Linked DNA regions of Rhinolophus ferrumequinum. Each later gene encodes a partner of the first gene's protein in a complex. Links are inferred from orthologs where the notes say so. Each region holds a gene or a part of one and is shown on either strand. Other genes may lie near its edges.

The links.
Region 2: the proteins of GLI1 (region 1) and SUFU are in contact, whole or in part, in a crystal structure (PDB 4KMD), measured with the Homo sapiens proteins. The link is inferred for Rhinolophus ferrumequinum from reciprocal best matches to the Homo sapiens genes GLI1 and SUFU. Residues at the interface, in NP_005260.1 of Homo sapiens: Gly119, Ser120, Tyr121, Gly122, His123, Leu124, Ser125, Ile126, Gly127; in NP_057253.2 of Homo sapiens: Leu144, Tyr147, Asn153, Thr154, Phe155, Gly158, Asp159, His160, Val161, Ser162, Trp163, His164, Gln212, Asn265, Leu266, Ser267, Gly268, Val269, Ser270, Ala271, Glu376, Leu380, Lys398.

What each region holds. Positions count from the first base shown.
Region 1 is NC_046293.1:56,445,811-56,457,088, forward strand, and holds the start of GLI1 (zinc finger protein GLI1), read left to right. Parts: upstream 1-6,019; 5' UTR 6,020-6,281; intron 6,282-6,493; exon of another isoform or gene 6,494-6,643; intron 6,644-9,401; 5' UTR 9,402-9,426; coding exon 9,427-9,526; intron 9,527-9,756; coding exon 9,757-9,849; intron 9,850-10,088; coding exon 10,089-10,296; intron 10,297-10,540; coding exon 10,541-10,685; intron 10,686-11,023; coding exon 11,024-11,113; intron 11,114-11,202; coding exon 11,203-11,278. Other genes in the region: INHBE (inhibin beta E chain), read left to right, coding at 2,281-2,578, 2,821-3,578. UniProt on the Homo sapiens protein: Acts as a transcriptional activator. Binds to the DNA consensus sequence 5'-GACCACCCA-3'. Regulates the transcription of specific genes during normal development.
Region 2 is NC_046299.1:22,535,174-22,546,585, reverse strand, and holds the start of SUFU (suppressor of fused homolog), read left to right. Parts: upstream 1-7,187; 5' UTR 7,188-7,371; coding exon 7,372-7,553; intron 7,554-11,412. Other genes in the region: ACTR1A (alpha-centractin), read right to left, coding at 5,502-5,549. UniProt on the Homo sapiens protein: Negative regulator in the hedgehog/smoothened signaling pathway. Down-regulates GLI1-mediated transactivation of target genes. Down-regulates GLI2-mediated transactivation of target genes. Part of a corepressor complex that acts on DNA-bound GLI1.

The DNA.
Region 1 (11,278 bases):
TCTTCTACTTCCTTACCCACACCCAAGCCTGTCACTAAGCCCCAGCCCCCAACCAGGTTGGTGGTAGGGCGGGCCTGTAAGGCAGATGGCTAGGGTATTTATAACCCAGGAGCACTTCTTGGGAAAAGTGATTAAGATGCTAAGAGTATATTTATAGCTGGGTTCTGACGTAAGTGTCAGTGGGGAAGTAGGGCCAGGCCAAGCACAGCAGCAAGAGGGTAGGAAGAAGCTGGAAATTGGGGACACCTGACAGAGAGGGTGGGGAGAGGTGGGGTCAGTGACTCCTACAGCCACTTCTTGCTGTTTCCCTTGACTCTCGCCTGGCACTAACAGGTAAGCCCTCTGAAACACAATACCATGGGCAGAAACCTCTACTTTGCAGTCATACAGTCCAGACCTGAGGGGATAGAGAGCTGTCACTCACCAGCTTTACAGACAGAGAGGGAGCTGGCGAGAGTACTGGACAGAGGGGCTTGAATGTTTTAGGACCTGGAGAGATGTGCAGGGTGTACAGGAGGGTCTAAAAGTCTCATTGTCCCTTCTCTCCACTCCCCACCACACAGTGCCCTGAGTTTCTAGGAAGAGCCTCGCACCCATCACCAAGCTCCATTGCCCCCTGTCAATGTGATGAGGTCCAAAAGCAAAGGTAGCAGTGAGGTGGGTCCTGACGACAGCCTCTGCTCTCTGGTAGTGGCTAGGTGAGAGAGCAGAGAGACCGGCTTCTCTGTCTCCTGTTGGAGAGGCAGAGTCTCCAGAGTGTGAGGCTGGGAAGTGTTGCATCTCTCCACTCCCCAGAGTAGCCCTTTCCCTAGGAAACTGATCAGCTCTGACGGCTGCTGTCCAGTGGCACGACACTGCCACAGAGTGGACACTGGTGGTACTGAGGCCCAGCCCCCAAAACACCTCCTCTCTCTCCCCCTGGTGCCAGACCTCGCAGCGTCTCTCCAAAGCCCCCACTGGCTAAATAGTGGGAAACTGAATAAAATGGAGTGGGGGCACATTTACAAATCACAGTCACATCCTCCTAGCTTCTTGAAGAAACTGGAGCCTAAGGAGAAAGGCTAGCATGAAACCTTCCCTCATGAGTTCAAGGTGGAGGGGCCTTGGCCCACCCATATAGTCCATGAGGAAGTATGGTAAGGAGGGCTGGGATTGGCACTAAGGTTGCTGTGCTCTGCTTTGCTCTTAAAAGTCCTTAAACTACCCATTTCCCACCCCCATTAACAGAGGCCTGGCACCACTTCTAGGATACCCCACATTTAGGCAACCCTCACAGTCCCCTGCAAGAGAACCAGCAGCTGGGTACAGGCACTCCCAAGTCCCATGCCCTCTGCCAGCCTTGACGGACTCTGCCCTGCTAGATGATTGCATCACCCCCACCCCCACCTCTGGGTTTCCCCAGACATCACAGTAACATGCCAACACCTATGCCCCTGCCCTCTTCCACGTTGTGCTTCAGTCCAACTGGACTCTGGGCAGCCAGCACAGGCAGGGGCAGGAGGTGACTTCTGTGTCCCGTGGCACTGCCACCTTGGCCTGGGCAAGAGGACTCCGTTCCTCCCGCCCCCACCCCCCAACCTCTCACCCCTGTCCCAGCCCCATTTCTAGAAATAAAGAAACCAGAGTTCTTCTTGCCCAGACCCTAGAGAAATCACCACTGGAACTTACAGCTGTCTCATGAAAACTGCTGCAGCAGTGGCTCTGGGGCAAGTTAAAAGGCTGGAGGGATGGGGGAAGTTGCCCTTCCCCACCTTGCTATATGGAATCCCCTCCCCCGAGTCCCAGACCTCGGGGACTGAGCATGTGAAATCATCCTCTTTCTTGCATCATGCGTGTCCACATTGCGCCCCCACCCCCATACCCCTACCTTACGCTCAGTGACCAGGGCCAGATGGTGAAACCGGAGCTCCAGGGGGGAACGTCCACCCCCTGTAGGGGCTTGATGGGCAGCACAGCTGGCCAATCTGGGGCTCAGAGGGTAGGTCTGCTAGCTGACCACGAGGTGAGGGAGCCCCAGGCTGCAGGCTCTAAAGAGGCCCGTCGGTAACCAGACATGAGCTGTGAGGGTCAAATTGGCAGATTGTGCTAAACACAGCTACCCATCGGACCTTCCTGAGTCCCCGGCAATAGAAGACAGGTGGCTCTACCATTGGCTAAGGGTAGGTGTGGCACTGGTGTCTGCTGCTGCTGTGCCCTCATTGGCCTCCACAAAATCACTCAATAGAAGGAGCAACTGCCATCTAAGGCTCTCGCCCAGACCCAGGGCCATTCACCAGGAACATGGAGCTACCTGATGTCCAGGTCCGGCTGGTGCTGCTGTGGGCACTGGTGTGGGTGCATGGGGCAAGGTCTGTGTGTCCCTCCTGTGGGGGCCCCACACTGGCGCCTCAAGCAGAACGAGCTCTGGTCCTGGAGCTAGCCAAGCAGCAAATCCTGGAGAGGCTACACCTGACCAGTCGTCCCAGAATAACTAATCCTCCACCCCAGGCAGCACTGACCAGAGCTCTCCGGAGACTACAGCAGGAAAGTGTGGCTCCAGCTAATGGGGAAGAGGTCATCAGCTTTGCTACCACCACAGGTGGGTGAGGGAGAGACAGACAGACAGCAGACAGGGAAAGGGAGACTGACAGAAAAGGCAGACAGAGCTGGCTGTGGGAGGAGGAGGAGGTGTTGGGGCAGGAACTGGTTGTGGAGGACGAAAGGCAATCCCTGTTTCCTCTAAAGGTGGGTGCTAGGGAGAGCATGGGCAGGCTTGCAGGAGTCTCAGAGGAGAGCTCCATCTCTACTATTCCCTCAGTCCTTTCTCCATCTCTCTGGCAGACTCCTCCACTTCACCCTGCAGCTCCATGCTCATCTTCCACCTGTCCACTCTCCAGTCCCACCACCTGCACCACGCGCGCCTATGGCTGCACGTGCTCCCCACCCTTCCTGGTACTCTGTACTTGAGGATCTTCCGATGGGGCCCACGGAGGAAGCACCGAGGGTCCCGCGCCCTCTTGGCTGAGCACCATATGACAACTCCTGGCTGGCACGCCCTGACTCTGCCCTCTAGTGGCTTGAGGGGTGATGAGTCTCGTGTCCTGAAACTCCAGTTGGACTGCAGACCCCTAGAAGGCAACAGCACGACTGCTGGACAACCTCGGAGACTCCTGGACACAGCTGGAGACCAGCGGCCCTTCCTGGAGCTTAAGATCCAGCCCAATGAGCCTGGAACAGGCCGGGCCAGGAGGAGGACCCTGACCTGTGAGCCTGAGACCCCCTTATGTTGTAGGCGAGACTATTATGTAGACTTCCAGGAACTGGGATGGCAGGACTGGATCCTGCAGCCTGAAGGGTACCAGCTGAATTACTGCAGTGGACAGTGCCCTCCCCACCTGGCTGGCAGCCCCGGCATTGCTGCCTCCTTCCATTCTGCTGTCTTCAGCCTCCTCAAAGCCAACAACCCTTGGCCCCTGGGTACCTCCTGCTGTGTCCCTACTGCCCGAAGGCCTCTCTCTCTCCTCTACCTGGACCGAAATGGCAATGTGGTCAAGACAGATGTACCAGATATGGTGGTGGAGGCCTGTGGCTGCAGCTAGCAAGACGACCTGGGGGTTTGCAGTACAGAGATCAAGATGGGGGTTCCCAGGCGAAAGGCATCTGTGGCTGGAGGCATCAGATTCCTGATCTGCAACCCCGCACCCCGTGGGCCACCTGGCAGTATGACTGGCTTGACCCCTATGGGACCCAAATGGGCACTTTCTTGTCCAGACTGTGGTCTATTCCAGGCTGGTTAATGTGTGGGGAGATGGGGAAAGTGTGTCCTCTGAAGGAATCTACCCAGAAAGCATGATTTCCTACTCTAAGTCCTATGAGAAAAGGGCAGAGGTGAGGGAGGGAGGGGGAGAGGGAAGGAGGGAAGGAGAAGGCTGAGAAAAATGACTTAGTCTCTCCCAAGAAGAGAAAGTCTTCGAGTGAGGGAAGGATGAAGCAGACTGAGGGCCCAGCAGGTTTGGGACAGGGGTAACAGGCTGGCCAAGGGCGGAACTATTGAGGTGCTTTAAGGGAAGGTCAGGAGGGAAATGGGCAAGGGGCTTAGGGAAGGTGTTTAGGAGAGCCCCAGAAATGAGAGTCAGGAGAGAGGGGTGCTGAGCCTGAGAAATTTCTTGGTTTTTCCCAGCAGGGGGTAGGGCCCACTGGGGAGACAAACTTTTATACTTTCCTAATAAAAATGTGGAAATAATCAGTAAGTGTGAATCACAAAGGTGGGCTGGGATGATAGTCTAGAGCAATGGTTCTCAAGGTGTGATCTGGGGACCCCTGGGTGGTCCCTAGATCTTTTCAGGGGTGTCCACAAGGTCAAAACTATTTTCATAATAATACTTAGATGTTATTTGCCGTTTTTAATTTTCATTATCTCAAAAGTGTACAGTGGAGTTTTCCCGAGGCTGTGTGACGTGATTACGTCATCTTTCTGACATCATTTTTAATGGGATGTGTGCTTGTGTATTCTTGGGTCACAAACTTTTTTTCAGTTTTAACTTCTAATATGGTAAACTAATATAAACCATATAAACAAAAGCTCAATAATTTTTAAGAATACAAAGGGGTCCTGAGACTAAAATGTTTGAGAATCGCTGATCTAGAGACCTGGGTGGGAGGAGAAAGCAATATATCTAAAAGAACTCCCCTGGAAGAGAGGACACATGGCTGAGACAGGAACATATGTAGGGTCCCTTTTTCTCCAGTGACCATTGGTCTTGCGTGGCCCGTTGGGTATAACTGGCATCTGGGTCAAAGTCATGTGGGGAGGAGGCTCAAATAGGGCTCCTTATCTGTCCCTCACAGCTACTATCTATATTTGTCTGGCCCCAACCTCTTCCTAGTTTCATCTTTTCCCCTTGACTCCCAGATTGAACAGTTAACCTACTGACCCTTCTAGACCCAAGGAGGTGGTTCTTGGAAGCGGAACTAGGATGTGGGAGGTCTGTCTGAGGGGTGACAGAAAAGGAAGGGACTCCTTTCCCCCACCATGCTTTCTCCCCTTTCTCATAAAGAAAGGTCAGGCAGACTAAAATAGCTGCCCCTTCCCCTGCATCCGGTCACCATGGCAACACAAATCCAAAGGAACAGGGCATTCTACTATCAGACACTAGTGCTCTGCACTAGCAGCCTCTGCCAGTGTGCCCCTCCGTCTCTTTGGGCTCATACAACCCCCTTCCCTGGGCTCCTAACTGGGCTTTGGTGAGGGGACCGGTAAAGCCAACTCCTTTTAGCTCCCCCAGTCTCCTCTGCCTCCAGGTTCCTAGAGGGTGTCATGTGCCAAAAAGGCCAGCAGAGGGAGTAGACGGCCTAGAAGAGTAGAAAGAGTGGGCAGAGCAGAGGTGCGGAGGTGGCCGCAGTCTCCAGAACTTCGAGACGAAGGAGAACCCGTGTTACTCCGGAACAGCGCCTCGGTGCTTGGGTTCCTTAGTAACCTTGTGAACACACACTCTGCACCAAGAGCCTCAGCCGCTATTCCTCTCTTTTATGTTCCGTAGACCCCTCACCTTTCGCCCAGGGACCCCCAACCCAACTCTGCCCCAATCCTGTTTTCCACCAAATCCCAACCCCCTTCTTGTATTTATCATCCAAAGAGTGAGACCGGCTGATAAACTACAGGTCTGCAGAATGCTCAGCTAGCACTAACCAAAGTCGACGACCTTACCTCCAACATTATCTTTATGGGATAAACTTTTTCGTCGCCCCCCGCCCCGCCCCCAATATATTTCTCAATCTGTTTTTTCTGGCTCTGGTTCAGGGCCTCTTCGTGGGCAGCCGATCCAAAGATCCATACCGGGATTTACTGCCCACCACTAGCAGCGTGTTCTGCGGGGGGGGGGCGGTTAGGCAGCCTAGGGTCCCTCAAGGGAGGGGGAGGATCCTGGGGGTCCTGGGGGTGCAATAAGCCCGACACCCCCTCTCTCGCTTCCAGCTACCCCGCCTCATCCTCCAGAACAGCAAGAGGGAGGGAAATAGGAGGGAGGTGAGGGGCGAGCGGGAAGAGCGGCGGCGCGCCAGCGGCTAGAGCGAGAAAAAGTTTTTGCAGAAGGGAAAAAAAAGTTTGCGCTTCTCGCGGGTGGTCCCGGCTTGCGGCCCGTAGGGCTGGGCCGGCGGGAGGGCTGGGGGCCAGGTTAGGGGGGGTGGGGGTGGCACCGAGGCTGCGCTACCGTGGCTCTGTCCGCCCCCCCTCCCCACCGCACACCCCCCAGCCCAGACTCCAGCCCTGGACCGCGCATCCCGAGCCCTGCGCCCAGACGGAGGTGAGAGGGGGGCAGGCGGGGGACCACCTGGGAGCTGTGGGGGAGGGGGCCTGAAGGGATGCTCTGCTTGCGAGGGACTCTGCCCAGCCAAGAGGGAGAAGTGGGGCACAGAGGCAAAATGGGGTGGGAGAGCCTGGGGTGAGATATTAGAAAGTTTGGAGAATTTTTTCATTTATGTCTCCCTTTCTCTGTATCTTTTTTTCTTCTGACAGCCTGTGTGTCTCTGTCTCAGGCAACCGTGGATCTCTTTGTCTGTCTCCGCCTCTCCCATACATTAGAAACATCTCACTTTCATGAGGTTGGAATGAAGAGGCTGGAGGGACGGCTAGCTGGAGGTCTGCGTGGTAGACAGGGAACTCCAGGTGTGTCTCTGAGCGCCGGCAGGAAGATGTCAGTGTTTCTGAAAGGAGGGACAGCTAAGGAGAGAGCCCTAGGTGGGGTGGGGATGGGTGTGTATGAGGCGACAAAATCACTGGGGGGCGGCTGGGCTTGAACCCCTGATCTGCCTTATGACAGATGTGCTTGTTGGTGCATGTGTTTTGGGGAAAAGGAGTGTCTTCTGGATAAGGAAGGGGACTGGAGTGTCTACTTCAGGCCCTAGAGCGACTCCTCAAGGAATTTGGACTCCTGAGTCCCTAGGGCTGTGGTCAGGGTGCTAAGGAGGAGCCGAGGAGGCCTAGTCTTGACCCTCTGACCTCAGGACCACCAGGGCAGCTGGGACCAGCTACAGGGAGACCCCTACTGGGACTGGGCGGGACCACCGGCCACTGCCTGCCTATGCATCCCCGTTGGCCCCCTCCCAAACAGGAGCTGGGGACCGAGGCCCCTCCTCTGACTCAGACCACCCTGCCTGCCCTTGCTCCCCGCTCTGAAGCCTCTTTCAAGCCCCGTGACCCCGAAACAATCCGCCCTGGGCAGCTAGCTTTGGGGACAGGATTAGGGAAAGGGGATCCCATAGAGACTGAGGACTGAAGGTTTTAGGGGGCTGGAGAACTAGGGTCTTCATAGGATAGGTCTTTACGGTCCAGTAGAGGGAGAAGGAGGGGCGATTTCCCTGGGGAGTTGTAAGGGCCGGAGTTAAGGTGGTTTTCCCTAGGGGGGCGGGGTCCAAAACCCCCCCATTACCTCCTCGGCATCCCCTGCTAAGCGGCACAGACCCCGCCCTTGACGTCACTAAGGGGGTTCCCGGGGGTCTGCAGGGGTTAACCCTTGGGAAGCCAACTAGGATACCCAGGAGCGTAAGGTGCCCTGACTGCTTCCCTCCCCACAAACACACCTTATTTACCCAGTCACTTTTCCTACAGTTTCTGGATTCTTTCTTTTCCGTCCCGCCACTGGGACCCCCACTCTTCAACAGTGCCCCCCCACCCCCACCCCCGGCGCGCGCACCACTCACTACCAGCTTTCTGGATGCGCTGAGGGGAGGAGGGAAAAATTTGTCCCGCCTCTCAACACCACCCCCCCCACCCCCCGCTACACTGAGGCTCGCTCGACTAGGCTCCCGGGGCGGGCGGGGGAAGCGGAGCCGTCTGCAGCCAGAGCCTGCGGCGGCTACTTGGGTGGGCCGAGGAGGCACGGGGGCGGGGAAGGCGGGACCAGGAGAAGGGGGGCGGGGCCGACTTCGGGGAGTTGGGGAGCGGGGGTGCGAGGGGGACTCTGGAAAATTGGGAGACACAGAAGATGATTCAGGGTTCCAGCCGAGAAACCCTAGAGCTCCCTGCCCCATCCTGCACTCTCATCCACACCCCAGAAAAACTTAACTGAAGCTGGAAAAGTTGGCTAGTGTGAAGGGGAATCGTGGGTGGGCCGTGGCACGCGTGGGCGAGTAGGGATGTCGCCCCATTTCCATCGCGGCTCCCCTGCGGCTGGGCAGTGGGGCAGAAAGATGACAGAACAAGCACGTTTGGGGGGTCGTTTGCGAGCCCCCGCCTCCTTCCCCTGGGTGAGTCATAGAGGAAGGAGGCGGGAGATGTGTCCTCCGATCCAGCTGCCAGCCAGCTGCGCCCCCCCCTCCATAGTGCCAAGGTCGAGTTGGGAGGTCTTGGATGCGGGATCCGGATCTCCGCTAGGAAAGGAGGAGTTAGGAAGGGTACAGCCCAGGCTGCAACGCTCGGGCTGGGTCCTCGGGTCCGGGTAGCGCTCCCCATCTTACCCCGCCCTCACCCTAAATCCCAGCATCCCGGGATCACCCACCACGCGGGCCGGCCCGCTCCCGGTGGTTCTCCACCCTACCCCGCCCCACCCCACCCTCACTCCCGGGAGACCGGAAAACCCGGGGTGGACCAAAACTAGTTTGAGGAGAAAAGCGGATAGCGGCACCCTCTCCTCCCTCACTCACTGCTCTTCTCAAATGGATGATGATTTTGTTTTTTTATTCTCCCAAAGCCTTCCCTCAAAGTCCTTTTACTGTTCCCCCAAAACAGACCAAAAGAGTTAAGTGGGCGCCCAGATTCAAACCCAGAATAACACCAGCTTTCATCCTTTGTACTCAGCTGACCCTGGAGGCTCCCCTCGGAAACCTTATCCCCTTCTACTCTGTTTTCTGACTTAGAGAAAAGGGCAGATCCGTCGTGCTCTCTCCTGGCCCCACCAGCCTCTCCGTCTGGGCTGCAGCAAGGGCTCCCTCTACTGGACACTGGAGAGATTGTAGGCGAGGTGTCCCTGGGCAGAAACAAATGAAGGGAAGGGAACCGGGTTCAGGCAGAACAGCCAGCCCAGAGCTTGAAGTCAGATGCTCTGCGTCTGAGGAGTCCCATCCCACTCCTCAAAACTGGCCTATGGTCAGAGCAAGAAGAAATAGAGGTCGTATGGTATTAAAATCAATTGAAGCTCATATAGGCACAGTTACTCCACAACACCCCACTACACACACAGGGAAAGCTCCTACCCAGTTCCCACAAAAATCGCCAACACTGCCCCTGCCTCTTTGAGACTTCTCTCTTCATCCTCACTCTGGCTGAATGATGCTCATTTCAACCTGGTGTCCAATGGCAGATGTCTTGGAGAGGCTGGGGGCACAGGGGAACCTCTGCCCAGTGTTCTGTGCCTGAATTAGTTATCTGACTTTCCCTATTTCCCTCCCACCTTTATAACTTGCAGATCTCCCTCCCTCTCCTGCAGTGCCTCTACACTCCTCTGAAACACCATGTTCAACCCGATGACCCCACCACCAGTCAGTAGCTATGGAGAGCCCTGCTGTCTCCGTCCCCTCCCAAGTCAGGGGCCCGCCAGCATGGGGACAGAAGGTTAGTGCATATACCAATTCCCGGGCCTTGAGGACTGGCAGATCTCTCACCCTGCCCCAGGAATCCCTCTTCTATCTCTTATCCCATGCCAGTTTCCCATCTACAAGAAGATTTGAGGCCCCATGTCATGTGGGCTTAGAATATGGGACCAGGCCTTGCCTGGGGTTTCAGGGTGAAGATTTGTGTGTCCCCCATTCTCACCCCCCATCCCAGCTGTCTCTCTTTTCTAGGACTGTCCGGTCTGCCCTTCTGCCACCAGGCCAACCTCATGTCTGGCCCCCACAGTTATGGGCCAACCAGAGAGACCAACAGCTGCACCGAGGGTGAGGCCTCAGGAAACATCTCTGCCCCTCTGGGACTTGTTCTGAGGGAGAAAGTGGGAGGGAAGGGGATCGAACTGGGAAGAGGAAGTGCTTGGAGATGTGAGTGAGGGGTCAGAGCATGATCAAGAGGTCACAGATGGGGTCAGTAGGGCAAGATAGAGTCATTTTTTTGCTGAGGGTCAGGACTCCCGGTTGGGTGCATGGAGAGACATGCCCCTTTACCATATTTATCTCCCCAGTTTCCTGCCCAGCCCCACTCTTTCCTCCTCCCCGGAGTGCAGTCAAGTTGACCAAGAAGAGGGCACTCTCCATCTCACCTCTGTCAGATGCCAGCCTGGACCTGCAGACAGTTATCCGCACCTCACCCAGCTCCCTCGTGGCCTTCATCAACTCACGCTGTGCCTCTCCAGGGGGCTCCTATGGTCACCTCTCCATCAGCACCATGAGGTGCAAACAGCCTCAGGCTAAGAGGGCCCTAACGATCCTACCAAACCCTATTAAAAGGCTCAAGCCCTCCAACACATCTCACCCTACTGGAATTCTTTCGTTTCAAGTGTTGGAGCCCTTCTCAGTCTCAGCCATTTCCCGTACCATTTTCCACACGCCCTCCACGTGGCCCCAGAACTCCTGAGACTTTCTGAGGTCATAATCCTAAGTAACTGCTTCCCATCTTCCTCTTCCTCCTCCTCAGCCCAGCTCTGGGATTCCCACACCAGATGAATCACCAAAAAGGGACTTCGCCTTCCTTCGGGGTCCAGTCCTGTGGTCCCCATGACCCCACCCAGGGAGGGATGATGACACATCCTCAGGCCCGGGGACCCCTCCCAACTTGCCAGGTGAGAGCCCTCATACTGCCACCTGATTTCCCAGCTGAGGGGGGAGGGGAGAGGACTTTCAAGGGGAAGATGAAGGAAGGACAGGGAATATAAAAGTTTTCAGTACCAGAAAAATAAAGGGGCACAGGGGCTGGGGTTCACTCTGGGGGTTGAATCAGACTCTTCCAAATGAGATCCCACCTTTAGCCCATCCCGTTCATCAGTGCAGTCTGAGGAGAAAGTCTCTCCCAAACCCAGGGGTTCCAGCTGCTTGGGTGGGGGCAGGAAGACCTGGCTGGGCTCCTTCTTCCTTCTGCCCACTTCTATCTTCATCACCCTCACCTCTTCCCTTGGGGAAGCTGAAGTCTGAGCTGGACATGCTGGTTAGCAAGTGCCCAGAAGAGCCCTTGGAAGGTGACATGTCCAGCCCCAACTCCACAGGCACACAGGTAAGGGTGGGGGAGATTTTTATCTCTGGAACCTGAGTGAAACAAAAACTGTCACCTAAGTGACCCTAGGATTGCCTCTCCTGCCCTAGGATGCCCTGCTGGGGATGCTGGATGGGCGGGAAGACCTGGAGAGAGAGGAAAAGCCTGAGCCGGAATCTGTGTATG
Region 2 (11,412 bases), on another chromosome or scaffold:
AAGGCAGTGTTGGGAATAATGCACAAGACCTAGGAGCCAGACCCAGGAGCTGGCCTGCCAGGCCAGCGGTTGGGTGAAGAATGGGTGGGGACAGGGGGAGGCAGTTTTCCCTCTCTGTGTTGCCAAAGTCAGGCACTAGGATGGCCAGTCTCTCTGTTCTGCTCAAGCCATACCATGATATCATACAAAAGGGTCATGTCCATTTCTTTAACAGTATTTATAACTAGAAACTGTGTCCCTGGCAAATGGGCTGCCACTCTGTTATTCACTCCGGCAAAACCAAGTGAACAAATGCCTGTAGAGGCTTTTTGAAAAAGTAGTCTCATAAATATTTGGGTGTTAAGGACTCAAATCTGCCAACCACCACTAACCCTTCATTCTCCTTCTGATACAGGAAAACAAATAGCAAATCCCATAGCAAGGTTCTCCCAGTATCTGCTGGCTATAGGTCCCGTGGCTTGGGTGACTTTCATCCTATGTGTTCTGGATTATTCTGGACATGACCAGGTAGGAAGCTAACTGTCTCCTATTTTACAAGTGGGAAAAGGATGTTGAAAGGTGGATGGAGCCTTAGCTTTTAGGACACTCGTGGCCCATTTTGGCCCAAAGACATCTTTTTTTGGGCCCACAAAGTACTTTTTAAAAAACAACTTAATTGACATAAAATTCACACACCAATTTACCCATTCGAGGTGTGTGACTCAATGGTTCTTAGTATATTCAGAGTTATACAATCATTATCACAATCTAATTTCAGAACTTTTTCATCATCCCCCCCAAAAACTCTGTACCCATTAGCAGTCACTCTCCATCCTGCCCCCCACCCCCAGCCCTTGGCAACCACTAATCTACTTCTGTCTCTATAGACCACAAACTACTTTTACATTAACTTCTGACAGTTAAAAATTGGAGACTGCATATGAAATTTAACATTTCTGATTTCTCTTGAAAAATCAGGTCTGGCAACACTGGGCCTGCATTCCAGCATGGGGACAAGTGGCTGAAAAGGAGAAGCAGCTGGGCCTTTGGTCAGGTATGCTCAATGCACCTTCCATATTCCTTATATCACCTTTAAGGCTCTCCTCTTCCTCTCCCTTTTTAATGTCTCTGCTTGGCCTCTGCAGGCATTGAGTTGCAGACCACTATTCTAGGCATTCCCAGCAGCTCATTCTTTTTTTTTTTTTTTTAAGGTTTTATTGGGGAAGGGGAACAGTGTGTATTTTTCCAGGATTTTTTCCAAGTTGTTGTCCTTTCAATCTTAGTTGTGGAGGATGCCATTCAGCTTCAAGTTGTTATCCTTTAAGTCTTAGTTGTGGAGGGCGCAGCTCAGCTTCACGTCCAGTTGCCGTTGCTAATTGTAGGGGGCACAGCCCACCATCCCTTGAGGGAGTCGAACCAGCAACCTTGTGGTTGAGAGGACACGCTCCAACCAACTGAGCCATCCGGGAGCTCAGCTCAAGGTGCCGAGTTCAATCTTAGTTGCAGGGTAGAGCCCACCATCCCTTGAGGGCGTCGAGGAATCGAACTGGCAACCTTGTGGTTGAGAGCCTACTGGCCCATGTGGGAATTGAACCGGCAGCCTTCGGAGTTAGGAGCATGGAGCTCTAACCGCCTGAGCCACCGGGCCGGCCCCCAGCAACTCATTCTTGATAGTTCTCCTTCCACACAGTATCTGGCTTCCTTCTTACCCTCAGAGCACCTAACCTGGTGTGAAGCCCATCCTTGGCTCTCAAAATACACATAACTGAACAGTGAGGTATTTCTACAAGTCACCTCCCCTTCACCCTTTCCGTTAAGCTAGGGATGGATTCTTGCTGAAGTTGTACAACCAACAGCCTGGATGTCACATGGCAAGTGGCCATGTTAAATAAATACACTGCCTTCATTTCTTCAGCTAATTCTAGGGTCCCTTAAACTTAAGTGAATCAGCGTATCTTAAAAGCTGATTCAAATTGTAAAAAAAAGAGACAATTAGTGAAATTTGAACATTGAGTGGATATTTGATGATCTTAAGGAATTATTGTTATTAGGTTTGATAACAGTATACTGATTCTGTTTTGAAAGCATGTAGGAGAGGAAAGTAGGTGGGAATGTAATCAAAAAGATTGGCCAAGAGTTGATAATGGTTATAGTTAGGTGACGAATATGTGAATGTTTGTTATACTATTCTTTCTCCTTTTGTTTATATTTGAAATTTTCTATAATAAAAAGAAGAGCTGGTGAATAAGATGCCAGCATTTAAGTAAAAATTCAAAATACAAACAGTATGCACACAACGTATATATAAAATCAAGGATGGAAAGGAGCACATCAATTTTATGATTATGGTTGCTTCTGGGGTTACTTCTGGAACAGAAAGAGAGGACGGGATTGTGAAGGGGTACAAAGAGTTTTCAATTATACCCGTAATGTTTTATTTCCTAAAAAAACAAATCTGAAGCAAATGTCAACATTCATTAAACCTGGGTGGTAGACACATGCTACCTACGTATGTGGGTGCTTATTATATACTTCTCAAAAATTTTCTGCATTTTTAATGTATCTCATTTTTTTAAAAAGGGGGTTGAAGCAGCATAACATCTCTCCAAAACAGTGGAACTCTTATTAATGAACTTGTAAAGATCTGATACTGTGCTTGCATTTAGGCTCACATAGTCACAAAGACTTTTAAGATAGACAGTTTTAAGTATGTTGATCCATTTTAGGACAGAACTTAACCTTTGAGATCTTAGCAAAGACCTGAGCTTTAGAATAAACATAGTAATCTAATCAAAGTGTGGTGGTCCACAAAATGTCCTCCCGGAGCTGTCCTCCTCTTGTATTATCGTGTTGTGTTGTATTGTGTTGTATGCCTTTGGAAAGAATAACTTATGTTTAGTTTTTAAAAATCACTCTATTGTCATTAAAACACAGGCAAGTACACCGCCCCCTCACTCCCCTCCATTTTTCTCATTAAATTCTGATGAATTGGTTTGGTGCCAGAATAGGATGAAAGGAGTGGTCAACAATTGTCTTAATACTGGGAAAGATTGTGAACTCAATAACGAGGCTCTTCCCTCTCTTCCCTGCTTTCTTTGTTCTCCTTTATTTTAATTACACTCTTCTTAGCCCAGAAACAAAATTGTAGCCATATGTTAACCTATGGAGATGTTAAACCTGCTAAGATACATTATTCTCACAATATATAATTGCCTCAAATATTTAAAATGATTTTTCTTATCCACCTTTCACTTTGAAACAAACTCTCTAAATGGCAAACAGCAAGAACTACCGAAGGCCCCAAATATAAAAATGTGGCAGATGCTCAGTAAACCCTAATGGGACAATTACTTAAGTTTCTCCTACTTCACCGATTGGCAGAATTATTGGCATAATAAAGGAAATGCTTTCCTAGAGAAAAAAAACAAGTTGATTCTTTAAACCTTAACAATGAAAATGCACCACTACCTTAATGAATTTCAAATACATTACCAAGAAAGGGAAAGGAGAAACTAAGAAGCATTAGCCTAAGTGATATTAAAGAAAATGAGGGGGAGATTGAACTTCTGCCCAATAATTCAAGAAGCAGATTTGGTGGGATGGACACACTGCTTCTTCATGGCTGATGAAAAAAAGGAGCTAATTTCTTTTTCAAATTATGAAGAAGGCAGATGCAGCACACACAAACAAGCTGAAGACAGAAATAGTGGTTTCTGAAAAATCAACGTCAAGAACAAGGAGTCCTACTCAACCCTGTGCAGTAACTAACTAGGCTGCCCCACCCCATCCTTTATTTAGGGACATCATTGTTACTGTGATAGAGATATTTAGTCATTCATCCACCTACCCATCAATGCAATGAAAAAACACTGAGTACTCAGTGATGCCTGAACATAGGTACTCTGGTGTGTGGAAGGAGGTGGGAAAGGGGAAAGTATTAAAAAATAAAGGGATACCATCTTTTCCCACAAGGATTTAATAGTCTAGTGAGTGAAACAAACAAACAAACAAAATCCTCTCCAAAATGATTTGTCTCATTGAACTCAACTTCTTGCTTTTCAAGGCAGAAGCCATACTCCTGAAGAGAGGGAAAGCTAACAATAAAAAAAAGCACCCTTTTTTGAAAAAAGTTAGGAACTTGGAACCTGATCTCGATTTGAGTCTTGGCTCCTCAACTCACAAACCTGGTAGTTCGAATACTGTTATTTAACCTCTCCAAGCCTCACTTTCCTGCATAAACTGAGGATAATGATTCCCATCTACCTACCAGAGCTGGAGCTTAAAAGAGATGATGCAAATGAAAAGACCTTGCAATTTACCTAAGGTCCAAGAGGGCTGGATCAACAGAGCAAATCTGACAGTCATCTTAGGAGAGAGGGAACGGGCAGTTTTGCCTCAATGGAGAGATTTAGAAGGGGTACAGAAAAGGTATCAACCAATTTTGGTGGGATCAAACCTTTGGAGGAAAGAAATGCAGTTGTTTTACGATTGTCTCCTTCCGCGCAAAATAAGAGCAATATTTAGATTCTTTTCATTTATCACTATTGATGCTTGGCGTGGGGGAATGGAATAACGGATAAAGCACTGGATTTAGTGCGACCTTGTTTGAAACCTCTTCGCGCTCGTTTTCTCATTTGTAAAACGAGCATCAAACGTCCTGCCTTAACTATGTACCCAGTTTTTGTGAGGATCCAACTTGAAGGTTACGAGTATGTGAAAGCCCTCCATAAGCGCTAGAGAGCCTGGCAAACACTATGTAGGTAAAATTTCCCCCCCAGTAACTAGGCGTTCCAAAGAGGAAGGTACCTCCCTGCTTGCTTTGTCACTCTCCCTTCTTCTCGAACTTTATTAACGCTATAATTTACAATCACAGAAATAACTGAAATCTGATGGCCATTTCTGACACCACATTCTTGGGCCCCACCCAGATACACCGCCAAGCAACCCGGCCAGCTCCAGACCAAAGGAAACTTAGCCCTTCTCCACCCGCGGACCGGCCCTAGCCCATCAGGCCCTACCACTGAGAGTTCCGACAGCCAATCCCCACAGTCCTCGTGCACTGCCCCGCCCCTTAAAGAGAAACGCTTTGACGGCCCGGAAGAACGGCAAGGGCGCAAGCCAATCACTGCAGAGGGCAGCCCTCATCAGGCAAGGCTCAGAGGCGGGGTCATCGGTCAAGATGGACAGCCAGAACAGCCAATAGAGTTATCGGAAACTGGGGAGGGGCGGGTGCCGGGCGCTCACAGAGCGGTTAAGGCCCCTAAGAGTCAAGGGCCCAAGGACCCGGCTCGGACTACAGCTGTTCCCTTAATCCACTCCCAAGTTCTCTATCCCATGGTTGCTGGCCGGCCGCCCTGCGTGCGGTCTATGGGTGGAGGAAGGACGGAGGTAGCGGCGGTTGAACCCGCCTGACAGGCCAGACCAGTGACAAAGAGCCGGCGGCGCAGGCTTGAAAGCCGGGAAGCGATCCCTTCGGGGAGGAGAGCATGAGTCCCTTTAGAGAAATGGAAGACGAAACTCACGTTGTCGATCACAACAGGCTGGTTGGCGATCACATCGTAGGACTCCATGGCAGAGGAATCTCTCCTTCTGAGGAAGGAACTGCCTGCCGGGTCCGCAGCTAGCGCCACTGACGCGCATGCGCAGTCTAGCCGCTGATGCAGGGCGGCCAGGGAGCGGCCAGACCTCGCCTCGGAAGAACTACAACCCCCACGATGTCTTGCACCTGCAGTTAGAGGGCAAGGCAGTTTCGGAGCCCCGCCTAATTTAAGAGACCCATTACCCGGTGTTGCGTTTCCGACGCACAGTACCCTGGGCTTTGTAGTTTCCATAGATAAATACACGGGGATTCAGATTGATGGTTGTATTGCAAGCTTGGATCTGTAGGGATCCCTTTGGAGGGATTCGCAGTGCATGCTGAAGTACTTGTCTGTAGTTCGCTTTGGATTGATCAGTAATTCGTAGATGTTCGGATTTTACAGATCAGTTCTGCCACTCCGCACCACTTCTGGACAATATTAAGGCTACCATGTTTTTATCTGGATCCATAAGATATTAATAAACATCTATGGCCACCACACTCTAATAAAATAAATTTTAATACACACACATACGGGGAAGGACATATTCCCAGAACAAAGGAAATAAATTGCATAAAATTTGCTTTTTAGGAAAAAAATAACAACACATTTTCATTGCTTTTTGCATTTTTTCCTGGATAGGTATAAACTTTGCAACAGGCTAACACTGGTCTGAAGACTGGCATTTGGAATTATTGGTAGAGAATTGACATTGATGAGTGAGAAAATGGAGGTGAAAAGTCACTGCTTTCAAATGATTTCAGTGCATTTTTCTCTAGATTATTTCCTCCGCTGCTTCAAGTTGCAGGGATGCTTGTAGTCAATAGCACTGGTAGCCTGGACTCCTTTCTATTCGTCTTTTGGAATTTCTTCAAGATCATTGAGTGGGAGATATTACTTTTTGAAAAGTTATTGTAAACAAGAAAATAATTCCCAACCCGGTGCCTTAGAAATTAAAAATTCTCCCAGTTACAGAGAGTCAAAGTAATGGAGAATGGCAGGCCCATAGTAGATAATGAACATTGGTGTTCCTCAAGACAATCTGCATATCTCTGCCTAAAACACAACAAAGAAGAGATTGTCATTAACATCTATTAAATAATTACGAAGTTTCTTTAATTGATCCTAGTTTACCAAACTCTTGTTACTTTCCATCAGAATTCCATAATAGGTATTTTGACATACGACCCCTGAGTTTGGTGGTGTTGGTGTCAGTCAATACGATTAGTGGACATTCCAAGGTGTAGGAAACATTCAGATTTAAATCTATTTAAACTAGTGCCAAATGGAGGAATGAATTAATCTATTGTCAAACTTATGTTTAAATCCTTGTTAGCGTGTCACCCGACCAGTGATAAGCTCTTCGTCAGCGCACTTCCCAGTGCTTATGTGGGACCCTAGCACCTCAAAAGGATGGCTCCACATCTGTATTTAAACCTGGGCTCCTCCTAACACTAGGGGGAGGCCAAGAGCCTTGGGATACCCCTAACACAGGGAGAGGGAGGCGGGACCTATTGTCAAGGCACGCAGTCCCACGTGTGACTGGCACAGACATTAGCCAATAGAATCTGGGATAGGGCGCGCCGGTGCCCCGCCTCCTTGAGCGTCCAGCGGCCCCCCCAGGCAACCTCTGGCTATCTCTGCCGCGGCGACGGCCTGGGCGGACGGTGCGCTGTGCGCAGGCGCGAAGCCTAGACCTCGCTGCAGCCCCCATCGCCTAGGGGAGTCGCACCCTCCAGGTTCGCCCGCTGGCGCGTCAGTGCTCTGCCGCTCGTCTGCCCTCCCGGGTTCTCCCAGCGCCCTACGCGCCCGGATGGCGGAGCTGCGGCCTAGCGGCGCCCCCGGCCCCACCGCGCCCCCGGCCCCTGGCCCGACTGCACCTCCGGCCTTCGCCTCGCTGTTCCCTCCGGGACTGCACGCCATCTACGGAGAGTGCCGTCGTCTTTACCCTGACCAGCCGAACCCGCTCCAGGTTACAGCTATCGTCAAGTACTGGTATGCCCTGGGCCGCGCGGGGACACCAACTGGGCAGGCTGGGCAGGGTTAAAGCACCAGGGACGAAGTAATATTCGGAGGAGGAGGAGAAGAATGGTTAAAGCACTTGGATGAAGGGCTTCCTGCTGCGAAGGAAGGAGTTGTAAATGGGGACAAAGGGGTTAACGGAGCCTGTGGGTAGCGAAGGGTTAACGAGGGCGGGGAGGTTGAAGGGTTAACTGGAATTAGGAGAATAGAGTGAATTGGGAGTGTGTAGGAGCTGAGCGGGGAAAGATAGGAGAGTGGGAACTGTAGACGTGGTGAAAGGAGGGGGCGCCTGTAGGGGGTCATTAGTGGGCGAGGGGAAGCCAAGGGGGGGCAGCTGAAGTGGGATGGGGGAGACGAGGCGGGGCCTGGGGAGCATATGAGAGGGCTTTGGAGGAGCGCGGCTGGAGGAGCTGCGAGGGTATGAGACTGCACAGGGTAGGGGTGGGTCTGTGGACTCGGGCTCTCCTGCCGTTTAGAAGAGCAAGTTGTGAGCGTTATGCTTGTGAAGAGATGAGGAGGTCTCCTTTTGATACTTTCCCAATGAACTCAGACATCATATCAGTGCGGTGCTTTGGGGTTTGAAGTTTCACGGAACAACTTTTCCTGATAAACTTTCTGCTTACTCTGCACAGTTTTTTTCCTGCAGAGCTTCCTCTGCCTCTGCAGCTGCTTTGCTTTAAGACATTGGCTAGAACAGAGGTAGGGTCAGGGAGATCCATGATTTGGCTGAGGATGGAAGGGGACCACAGTAAATGCTGAAGACCTGGGACTTGGACAGGGAGGAAAGAAGGCAGTGAGATGTTGAGGAGCTTCCTGGCCACAAGCTTCAGGATTTAGGAAGCAGTTTCTGAGAGAAGCTGAGAGTAACCCCCAAGTAGTTGTTAAAGATCAGACCTGTTTACAGATGGGCTACCCTTGGAGTAGAAATGGTCTTTTTCAGTTTCTCATTCCTGTTTGCAACCTATTTCTTCCTGCAACCTTTGGGCAAAACTGGTGTTATGGGGACTGTTGGAAAGGGTCTGTCTTCGTGGTCTTTCTCAACCAAAAGTTGACGGAGGAATTGGTTGAATCTGTCCAGAACCACATTCATGCGGGCACTGTATTAGATGACTCCCTTCATTGAGTCCTGGAAGACTGTTCAGGCAGCTGCTTGCGGTGTGGCCTAAAGGGCAGATAGACTCAAAGAGGGAAGTGCAAAGAGTGGATGCCTTGCTGGTTACCTCTCCCTTTAGAACTGAGTCTCCTCCGTGACAACATCTTACTTCCTCCGGAGATGGCAGAAGCTAGGCTATAGGACTTAGGCCAGCTAGCTCCCGGTGTAGACGGGAGCATGTAAAGAGGCTGACAGTGTGAAGGGCCTGGGGACCTGCCACCTGCGCCTTAGGTAGGCCATGGGGAGCAACCTGCCTCTGTCTGGTAGCCAGGAGGAGGTGTGGCCAGCGATACAGTTCTTTCTGGCAAGCAAACTGTTCTTTGGTTGAGAGAAGTTTTTGAAGAGAGCTTCTGACTGAATCACAGCTCTTGATAACTTAATCACCCATTCAAATCGCACCTCTATACTTAAATATGTATTGTGATGAACTATATTGGATTGTGTCATGAGGAAAGTGGGCCTGGTTCTGCCATGCTGTTTGTTCAGGCCTCATTTGAGTGTAAGGAGAAATCCACTGACAGACTTGGGCAACTTTTTATGTCACCCATGTGGCCAGGAGGATAGTGTTGTATGGAAAAGGTATTGAAGCACATGCAAAGGACTAAGACTGGTTTGGGCAACTGTTTTTTTTCCTTCTTGCTGCAAGCTTGTTAACCAGCCAGGACTTATCTTTAGATGGACTAACATGTAATGACAAATAACGACGATTTACAGCACTCTGTGAAATTAGAAATGCTGCCTAGACGCCGAAAAATATGAGGGAACAGCTCAGTGACTAGTTCTTTCTAAGGTTTGGCGGGGTTTGCATAATTAAGATCCTGAAATGAATTCATCGATGTCCCTCATGTTAGAGATACCACAAGGCCTCTTCAGTTCTCATGGCAGGATGATGGACCCAGGCTGCCTGAGTCTGGCTGTGGTCCAGGGTACCTTGGTATTCCTTTTCTCGTGACAAAAGGGTGGCTCTTTGGCTAGTGGCCTCTAGCTAGCAAGGACGCTAAAAGCCAAGACTGTAGTGAGCAGGGAGCGGACGCAGAGGGGCAGAGCCTGTACCTTGCGGTCACTCCAGTCCTGCAACTGCCTTGGGGAGTGAAGTCAGGTGTTCAAGGTATGAAGTTGAGGGATGCTCTGGGTCCTTGGATAACATCTTTTTTCTAAATGCACAATACGATTATTTTCTACATGCTCATGGCCTACCCATCCTGTCTCTGAGTAAGTAGAACAGAAGAACACTCTGCACTTGGAGACTAGATTGATTTTGTCTGATTCTTGGTTATTCCCTGCAGTTGGAGTTTTAAGGTAAAACCTCTCTCCTTGATGCAATACCTCCTGGGACACTTGGCCAGAAAGAGGGCTGCAGTAGTGTGGCAGATGAAGCACAGAACGGGGAATGCAGTTTTCCCACTTGTTGCTGGATGGACCAAGGCTGGAGGAGGGTCAGGACTGGGAATTTGCAGTAGGAAACTGGAGCAGATATGGAGCCTGTCGTCACTTCCATCTATTCTGGGGTTCTGCAGCTATCATGGGGTACTTCCAGGGATAGCTACCCTTTTCTTTCCTCCCTCCCCCGACAAACCTCCCTAAATCTGACTGGTTGTGGGATTAGTCAATTGATTTTGCAAAATCAAAGTTAAAGAAAGATATGGAGATTTGTCCCTAAGCTATTTGTAGTGACTTTCTTACATGTTCTATAAATAACTTAGCTTTCCTAGCAGAGAATAAGGATTTCTACAAAGGCAAATAATATCCTGACAAAAGAGGATGAAACCAGACCTACTGGTTTTAAATAGTGTTTAAATTGTGTGGCACTGGCATGCTTGCTGGGATCACACGTAACACATCTTTTATTTGGTTGTTTGCGTTCCTTTAGCATATGATCCCAATTGCAAAGCGCACTCCATCGATGTCCCAAGGGCAGGCAAAGTTTTTGCAGTCTGTGGAATAGTCAGATGTCCGAGGCAGCTCAAATGCAGAGTGTTTGTGGGCTAAATGCAGACTTCCTTCCGCTGATGGTTTCCATTTCGTCTGTTTCTCAAGTTTACCAAGTTTCCCTATCCATTCTGAAGAAAAGCAGGATTTTTTGAAAGAACACTAATTACTCCACTAACGGGAACCCTTATTGAATTAAATCCTCAGAGTGAGATAATGACTAAATCTCTTCCTCAACTGCCTCTGTGTTGGAAGTATGGGGGATGTTTAATATGGTCCTGAGAGGCCCCAAATCATTTAATGTTCCAGCTCCACCTTTGAGGCTGCAGTTTCCTGGGATCCTCTTGCGGATGCAAGCCCTCACAGGGCTCTGCAGTTATCTGTGCAGAGCTGAGCCAACCTAAGTTTGGCCTTTGTCACTTGCATGATAAAAGACCAGCTTTGCTTTGTGGGGTGTGGGCAGGGGTCTGGAGGCATTGGGTTTGTTAAGAACAAACTGTAATTAACATAGGGCACAATATAGTCTTTCAGGAATTAGCTGTCTAAGAGACGGGAGTGGAGTTGAGCCTCTTCTTCCAGAAACAATGCCCTTAGGGAATGCTCAGGATGATCTTTCTACAGAGGCCAATGGATTGACTGAGGCACCTCTTGCCTCGAATTGTGGAATGTTTCCAGGCACCATGGAAGAGAGACAATCCCTGTCAACCCATTTAGGATTGGTCATTTGAAACCGGAGGAAGCGAAAGGGGC